2 linked regions of the Oryza sativa Japonica Group genome follow. Each later gene encodes a partner of the first gene's protein in a complex. Links are inferred from orthologs where the notes say so. Each region holds a gene or a part of one and is shown in the gene's direction. Other genes may lie near its edges.

The links.
Region 2: protein PLASTID TRANSCRIPTIONALLY ACTIVE 12, chloroplastic-like (region 1) and thioredoxin-like fold domain-containing protein MRL7 homolog, chloroplastic share a complex: the UniProt entries of both Arabidopsis thaliana proteins name them as parts of the transcriptionally active chromosome (TAC) complex. The link is inferred for Oryza sativa Japonica Group from reciprocal best matches to the Arabidopsis thaliana genes PTAC12 and MRL7.

The regions. Positions count from the first base shown.
Region 1 is NC_089035.1:33,074,379-33,078,875, forward strand, and holds the start of protein PLASTID TRANSCRIPTIONALLY ACTIVE 12, chloroplastic-like, read left to right. Parts: upstream 1-1,512; 5' UTR 1,513-1,650; coding exon 1,651-1,684; intron 1,685-1,760; coding exon 1,761-1,813; intron 1,814-1,935; coding exon 1,936-2,607; intron 2,608-3,493; coding exon 3,494-3,606; intron 3,607-3,977; coding exon 3,978-4,240; intron 4,241-4,497. UniProt on the Arabidopsis thaliana protein: Involved in plastid gene expression. Acidic transcriptional coactivator necessary for the transactivation of many PIFs target genes (class B genes), particularly during the regulation of hypocotyl growth.
Region 2 is NC_089035.1:36,100,874-36,105,170, forward strand, and holds thioredoxin-like fold domain-containing protein MRL7 homolog, chloroplastic, read left to right. Parts: upstream 1-1,359; 5' UTR 1,360-1,441; coding exon 1,442-2,094; intron 2,095-2,370; coding exon 2,371-2,455; intron 2,456-2,548; coding exon 2,549-2,660; intron 2,661-2,839; coding exon 2,840-2,943; 3' UTR 2,944-3,014; intron 3,015-3,157; 3' UTR 3,158-3,528; downstream 3,529-4,297. Other genes in the region: protein VAPYRIN, read right to left, coding at 4,278-4,297. UniProt on the Arabidopsis thaliana protein: Plays an essential role in early steps of chloroplast development. Involved in the regulation of plastid gene expression. May positively regulate plastid-encoded RNA polymerase (PEP) activity through binding to FSD3 and CITRX/TRXZ.

The DNA.
Region 1 (4,497 bases):
CCATTTCATCAACAATTATACCGACTCTCTCCCCCTCATCCGCCATGCCCATGGCCTGCTCCTCCCTTGGTTGATTTTCCTCATTTTGCATCGATGGTCCAACAACATCCCCTGCATTGCTAGGACCCTCCACATCTTCGGTTTGCATTGAAACATTTGTATCTTTCTCTTGTACCGACACAAATATAACGAGGGGCCATGACCGTTCAAAAGCCATTTCCACATACCGTCTCCAAGCAGCAGTGCTGTCCATCGGCATTAGTTCCCAAAAATAACCTTCTATTGCACGACTCACTACAACAGATACTGACATTGTGTAGACTTCTTGGTCTATTCTAAATCCTCTCAACAACCAACTATAAATTGACTCAAATGTTCTCTCCGCAGGCCTATCGATGCCCTTAGATGTCATTACAAAATCTGACAGATCAACACCATCTGGACCAAATCTAATATTTCCTTCACCGTGAACTATCTGAAATGTGACCTTACTTGACATTGTGCCTGATGAAAACAATAACTGCGTTAACCTCGCATTTCTGTACTACGCCCTAAGTTACATTCTCTACAATATTGTTCTCTAAATTTCTAAAAGTAGGTTACATTCTCCAGATCAAACTAAACTACATCTTACAATTAACACTACTGTCTATGTCTCAATTCATACTATTATATTCTATGCTCTGGATCTACACATATGTGCTGTGTGCTACAGATCTGCTAAAATATATGGAACTAAAACTAAAACGCAACATATGTACTCAAACGTAATATATTAGTACAAATGCAAAAGATGTATGGGAGCATACCTGTGATGAAGTGAGCGAACCAGCAGGGCTTCGCCGCTTCCCTTCTGCTGCCCTCCCCTCTCTCTCTCTTTCGTTTTTTTGGATTTTTAGTGAATATAATGAAATTTCACAGGGGAGGGGCTGGGCTTTATAGGGGGGAGGCAAAAATCGCCCTCCCCCAGGGCGGCAAGGGGGCCGCCTGCAAAATTCCATGCCCCCTCGCCGCCCATTTGCAGGCGGCCCCCCCGCACAGTGCAAAATCGCCCTAGCGGAGGGCGGCAAGGGGGCCGCCTGCAAAATTCCATGCCCCCCCTCGCCGCCCATTTGCAGGCGGCCCCCCGCACAGTAGAAAATCGCCCTCGCGGAGGGCGGCAAGGGGGCCGCCTGAAAAAATTCCATGCCCCCCCCGCCGCCCATTTGCAGGCGGCCCCCCGCACAGTAGAAAATCGCCCTCGCGGAGGGCGGCAAGGGGGCCGCCTGCAAATTTCGTTGACGGCCGTCGCCCGAGAGCGAACGGCCGTCTGCCACGTCATTTTCGCCGCCCTCTGGGAGGGCGATTTTTAAAAATCGCCCTCCCAGAGGGCTGTAGGCGACTATTTCCGTCAATTTTCAAAATGGAAAATTATTTTTGTAAAACTTTTAATAAAAAAAATTATAAATAAAAAAAATTCGAATTTGAAGTCCACCGGATAAACCCCGTGTTCCTCTTCGAAAACCTCTCCTTGTTATCCTGTCCCCTTCCGAAGACCAAACCGGCTACCTGAACTTCGGTGCGCGTCCATGGAGCTCAACCCATCCGCTTCCCTCCCCTAGCTCTCTCTCGTCCACCTCGGGTTCCAACCGCAGCATCGGAGGCGGAGCCATGGCGTCGTGCTCCCGCACTTGGCTCCTCCCAGGTGACCTCTCGCCCCTCATTTCCAACCGCCAATTCGCACGGCTCAAGCGAACTCACCTCCCTCCAATACTCCGCAGGCATGGCGCCGCAGGCCACCGCCCAGACTGTTCCTCGCCCCCTCCAGTCCTTGGTAACTCCTCCCCCATCGGAATGCCCGAGAAAATTGCTGAAATTTTACCGCGTTCCCGTGCTCCCAGTTGTCATGGGTGCTGAGTATTTTTTTATTTTGATTTGTGTTTGGTGCGTGCGCAGAAGGTGTTTGCTGGATTGCCTCACCGGAGAAGGGTGCTGTTTTCTGGTGTGTCGAGCAGAACGCGAAGAGGCAGGATCAGGAGCGTCAAGGACGACTCGCTCCATTTTGATCCATCTAAGATCGAGGCGCCACCGTACTCCAGTTACTTCGACTCCACGTCGGGCCAGCTCGAGCCGGCGTCGGGTGCTCGGGCAAGCATACCTGGGCAGGAGTACTGGCCGGAGGGCACTGCATCCCGCGTACGCGCTGCCCGTGCACCTGCACCGGTCGGGGAATCAGCTGGGACACCGTCGTTTGGTAAGAAGCCCGGGAGTAGAAGGAAAGGGTACAAGGAGCAGGTAGCATCAGCGACGGCAGGGAGAGGCACGGAGACCAGTGGAGATGAGGGAGAGTCGGTTGTGGCCATTGAGGCCTCATCAGATGAGACACTGGAGGAGACAAAGGATTCATTGGATGAGTACGTCGTTTATGAGATGCCCAAGGAAGAAAATTTGAGTGAATATGAGATGGACAAGATGATGGGACGGCCACACCCGTTCGTTGACCCGCAGAAGGCAATGTCTGTAGGGGAACCAAAATCTAGTGAAGAGCTGTGGTGGAACTGGAGGAGGAAGTCTGAGGAAAATGAAATGTGGTCAAGATGGCAGAGGAGGCGTCCAGATGTTGACACGGTTAGTTCTTGATTGGTTTGAACTTAATAAATGACTTATAAGTCTTTTTTACTTAAGTTTTTCTGCCTATTGTCACTTGTTAACATAACCTAGTAGCGAATATGATGTACACAGTATGGTTCTTATTCTCCACTCCTCCTGCTGCATGTCCACACCACAATTTTGAGGGTTTCAATTGTTTGTATGCTAGTCTTCGTATACCCTATTTTGATAGCACAAGGCACAAACACTAAGGTAGTACTCCCTCTGTCCCAAAATATAAGAACCTAGTATTGGATGGGACGCAGGATACTATATACTTTGGTTGGACACATCCCATTCGGTACTAGGTTCTTATATTTTTGGGACGGAGGGAGTACATGTAGTTTTGTGTGTGCCAAAATATCCAACCAAAGTATAGTGTTTGTAGTGCTAATATTTCCAGAAGCCACACAATGTCGTCATGATCATCGTATGCATCTTCTAGTGTATAAAAGATGCAAGCAGAGTAGTGTACACAGTGATGAGCTGGTATTTTTATTCTGGGAGTTCAAAATGAGATGAAATACTTAACCATATATCTTGGGTTCAGACAGAATTAGGTTCTTCATTAGCCTAGACTGGTAACATTTATAAGGATCTTCTGGGGTCATCTCTATTCCACGAATCCTAAAAGCTGTGTGGCTCAGTTGAACGCCTATTCCCCCATACTAAATCCACCACCTGGTAGATACACGTGCACAGCTTGCAGATGTGGCATTTCCTATACATGGCTTATCAATTTAATCTATATTGTTGGTTGATGTTTTTAACCTTTTTCATTATTCAGATTAGTGTTTCTTCTAACTTACAGCTCTGTGTCTTGTCAGTTATAATTTAAATTGTAACACTCATTTCATTATTGTAGGTCTTTGCAAAAGCAATGGCAGAAACTGGGCAGATCAAAATATTTGGGGACCACCCTACCAGAACAGAAGCTGCTCTTGCCAAGGCAAGAAGACATTTATTCAAAGAGGAAAGGTTGGCTGAATACTAGAAATTATTTTCTCAAAATTTAGTGATTTTGCTTTTCGTGGGTCTTCACCATATGTGAAAACCGTGCTTTTAATTTTAATATCTTCACCATATGTGCAATGATACTCTTTAAGCTTATGTAGACTCTTTAACTGACCTTTGGTATCCCCTCGTTGATTTATAACAAATATTTGATGGATGTTATTATGTCTAGTTGCCTACCTGCTGGTTTGTACTTCAATGTTACTTGTTATGACAGCAGAAAAAAATATTGACACAACGTCCTTTCAACATGATATTTTCACAGTATTCTTAAGGTATATAGTTCTATCTTGCCTTCCGTCCATTCTTATATTGGATATACAATGAAAACACAGGTTAGAAGCAGAACAAAGGAGACTAGAAGAAATAGGGCCAATAGCATACTATTCGGAATGGGTTGAAGCGTATAAAAACAAAGACACTTCACGAGAAGCTGTACAGAAACACTTTGAGGAGACTGGCGAAGATGAGAATACTCAACTTATAACAATGTTTCAACACCAAACTGCTGGGGAATTCCGTATCATGATGGGCACTGATGTTCGCATACAACGAGATCCTTTGGCAATGAGGATGCGGGAAGACCAGATCAAACAGAGTATATCTTCTTTTCTCAATCCTGATCATTTTATATTATTGACATCTACAAGCCGCTTTTGCTGAATTTATACATGGTCCATCCTACAATAGCTTCTTTCTTTAATCGTATTTATTCTGTTAAAATATATTGTATGATAAATCCTGGAAATTGAGCACATATTATGATCTTAACTTAGCACAGAAGTAGTGTTGGCATTTACCTGAGAATATATTTGGAACATCCAAACTACTTGTTAACTTCTATGGTTTGTTTTT
Region 2 (4,297 bases), about 3.0 Mb from region 1:
TCACTTTCTCATCTCGATCTTTTCTAATTCTAACCTTCTAGTACTATCTACATAAACTACGGAAAGAAGCTAGAGTTCTACTCCCTGACCCTTTCTAGGTTGAGTTTTTTTTGGATGGAATGAGTACAAATTAATGCTAATTAATAATTCATATACACTCCACGTTTGAGCAGAAAATTAAACTGCCAAAAAATACAAGTAATTGCAATTGAGCATATGTTCGGATGATTAATATATTTCATAATCCATTGTATCCAGCGCCATCATCAATAGCTGACACAGTGATACGTGTGATCGGTAAGTGATCGTCGGTCGGCTGCTGTACTGACGGTAGGCGTAATCCTCCAGGGACATGGATCGTCGACAGTACTGCGGAGAAGCACTATAGCTGTGCCCACCACAGTTTGTTTAATGCAGTGAATATTGAGAAAACACCGTAGCTATAGTGTGTTGATCTCTTAGTTTTTTTCTGTTATTGTTTTACATTCACTGTAGTGCAGAGGATGGCTAATAGATAGTTACATACTATTCCCTGCATCTCAAAATAAACGAATTTATTATAGGATCTACTACGGGATGTAATATGTATTAATACTTATGTTCAGATTTTCAGTAGTATCACATCTATAGCTGTTTGGTACGGCAGATGCTCCCTGTTCCATCCTCCACGAATTTCCTTTGCCTTTGAAATTCTAATTTTTTGAATAGGGGAATACTAGTACGCAAACACCCGTATTCGTCCTCTACGTACTGGTGAGCGCCTTAAATTCGCCGCCGAATCGATCGCGATTAGCCATCCGTTTTAATCAAGCTTCCATCGTCTAACGCACCGGCCGTTCTTCGCCGGTGGAGGGACAGACAGGGGATGCGGCTGCGCTACCTGCACCGATCGCGTTAAGTGGGACAAGCAAGAGCGCAAAGACAAGAGCGCAGCACGGTGCGGGAGCCCGGTGGATCAGAGCTAGTACTAGTATATACTCCAGTTTGACGGACCCAGTGCCGGCCGGGCGACGCGCGCCTGACGCCCGCGGATCGATCGATCGCCGCCGCGCGCCTGGACGAGCCCAGGTGCGCTGCCCTGACACGCCACGCGCGTGTTCATCGACAGCGCCTCCTCCGCACGGAGGAAAATGACGTCGACAGCGCCTGGCTAGCACCGTCATTACGTCAACCGCTGACGTCAGGTAGTTGGGCTTGGTCTCAAGTTCCCGACTGGGAGCACATGCATTGGGCCGGATACCAACACCACCAGGAGAAGAGGAATCCCGGCCCGATAGCACATATCACACGGATTTGTGCCCAAATTTGTAATAAGACCAATGTAGTGGGCCGACTAGTAGCCCGTAGCTCGGTAGATGCAGTGATGCACCAATTCGGATAGGGCAGGAAAGAACGGTGAAAGACGAGCGCCGCGCGAAGGCCGGTGAACTTCGTCGCCGTGATGCTTCGTCTTCCCACTCTCCTCCCCCTAAAACCCTCGCCTCCCACCACCGGCTTAAACCCCATCCACGGCCGCCGCCATGGCCACCACCCCAGCCGCCTCCTCGCCTCCTCCGCCCCGCCGCCGCCACCACCACGGCCTCCCAAGCCCGAGCCCCGTACCAGCCACGAGAACCTAGGCGACGACACCCCCGATTTCCCCACAACCAAGCCCCGCAAGCCGCGCCGCGGGCGCCGGAGCGAGGCGGCGGCGGTGGAGGACTTCGTGCGTGGCCGCCTCGAGCAGGTCTTCGCTTCCATCCGGGAGCGCGACCCCGAAGTCCTCGAAGGCAAGGGCGACATCTTGAAGCGAAAGGAGGAGCTCTCCGACGAGGAGGGAAAAGAGGGGACTGGTGAGGAAGAGGGGGAGCTGAAGGCTGTGGTTGAGGAGGAGGATCCCTCCTGGCCTCTGGACGCCGACATCGGGTGGGGGATTCGGGCGTCGGAGTACTTTGACAAGCATTCCATCAAGAATGTGACGGTGGATGGTGTGGAGATCGATTGGGAGAGGGAGGTCGAGGAGGGATGGGTCAAAGAGATCAACTGCTTGGAGTGGGAGAGCTTCGCCTTCCACCCTAGCCCCCTCATCGTTCTTGTCTTCGAGCGCTACAACAGGTATAAATCACTATTCTACCCAGACTCTATTCATGTGAACCCATAGTACCTATATGTTAGGACCAAAGTGATAAACTTCATAAACTTCAAGCTTCTCACTTTATATTGTCATATCTGATAATTTTGAATCCATTGAATCAAAAGTTCAGAACTACCCCTGAAGTAATGCATAAAAATGTAAAAATGTACTATCGTTTTGAGTTGCCTCAGAAAATTAGGTGTTCTACTTCCATGACAGGATGATATGTACGCGTAATGTTTTGCCTTTGTTTATAGGGCAGCTGACAATTGGAAGTTTCTTCAAGAATTGGAAAAGGCGGCTAAAGTTTACTGGAATAGTAAAGATCGGCTACCTCCTCGGGTCAGTGTGAATCATATTTATAGTTAATACTTGATGTATTACGGTAAGGTTATTGAGGTGGTTGGTCATATGCTAAATTTAATTGAGTTCCAGACAGTGAAGGTTGATATGAATATTGAGAGAGACCTGGCATTTGCACTTCAAGTAAAAGAATGCCCACAATTATTATTCCTCAGGGGAAACAAGATATTATACAGGGAAAAAGGTGAGTAGTTAGTTCCATTTTTATGGTAAATCCTGTTCACATAGTTAACAAATTGAATGGAACTTTGAATTATTAAATTCCTTGATTGCTAATATGCACTTTCATGTTAGGCCCACCTTTTTCAATGGTCAAAATTGCCACTCTGACAACACCTGATTGCCTCATTTGCTTGTTTACAGAACTAAGAACTGCCGACGAACTAGTTCAAATGATTGCCCATTTCTACTACAATGCAAAGAGACCATCTTGTGTTAATCCTGAAGCTATTGCACCTCCGTGCTAATCTCCTGCATTTCAGCGCTTATGTATTGAGACAGTGCCTTAATTCTCAACTCTTGGTGAGTGTACACTGTGGTAAGCTTTTCATCCAATGATAACCTGTTCCCCGTTAGAAAACTGTATTCTATACTGGTCATTGTTCTCTTTAATGTCCTTTCTCTGTATTAGTACCTGGTTCAGGGGAGAATATTATTAATTTTGCTAACTTTATTTGCCAGGAAAATAGTCTAAATAGACCAGTGTGGTTATGATGCTTGTATCTGTAATAAATGTATCACTTGAAGAGGAAGGAGAGAAACCTCTTACTGGCTCATCTCAAGTTGGGAGGGGGTCAGGTATCAACTATGTCATATATTTTGGTATGCTCATGTTTTTAGCTGTACACTTTCACCTTTGTACTGTACTCTAACAAAACATACAGTTCATCAAATTTCTAGATAGAACAGGAGGGAATGCTAGCTTAATTATCTGCGTGGCCATCCTGTTAAGGAGGTTGTAAAGTCGATTGTAAACTTTTGAGGCGTAGTGTAATGTCATTTCACGCCATAGATGCAAAATGAAGGCAGGGGGGTCAACCCATTTGTCATCTTATAACTCCTCTGATTATTTTTCAGTGACGTAATTGAATTTGTTGGATGGAGAACGATACAAGACATACCATACATGCATTATAGGGTCATTTTGGTAGAACAATCTCATCTTGTGGAACTGCTTTCAGATACTCTTTTCTTTGGTTAGCCCCCCTTTTTTTATCTTGGGTGGCAAAGGGGGTATAGTTGTGCTCCAAATTCCCATGAGAATGGGATGGCAATGCTTCCCCCGGTCTCAAAAACAAGTCGCTTGAGAATGCGTCCAGTCAGCATAAGTTAAGTTTGGCTATAAAATAAATTAAAGTATATGTTTTGGGTGTTTCCATCTATAAAAATAACTTGAACTATAGGTTTTGGGTATATGAAAATGATATATTTAAGTTTGTCATAACAAGAGCTTTAATAGTAGACTGTCCGCATAAGAGAGATCATGAACAATCTGCCACTGGTTTTGAGTGCTCCAAAAGGAATGCAAAATGCAATTTCTGATCAAAGGTACTAGTACGAAATGGAACACGCGTCATGTCAGCCTATGAAATCAACAATTATTAATTGTTCCCCATATCGAACTATAAAGAAAGGAATCCGATGCAAACATTCACTTTGCTTAACAAGAGTTACTGACAAAAACAGAACAATCACCTCTGTAAACTATAAAACTATACAGTACAATACTGTCACCTAGACTCCTGGTACAAATTACAAAGTATAAACAACAACTCTGGATTGAGCAGTGGACACAACGAATCTACGCACACGATATCGAGG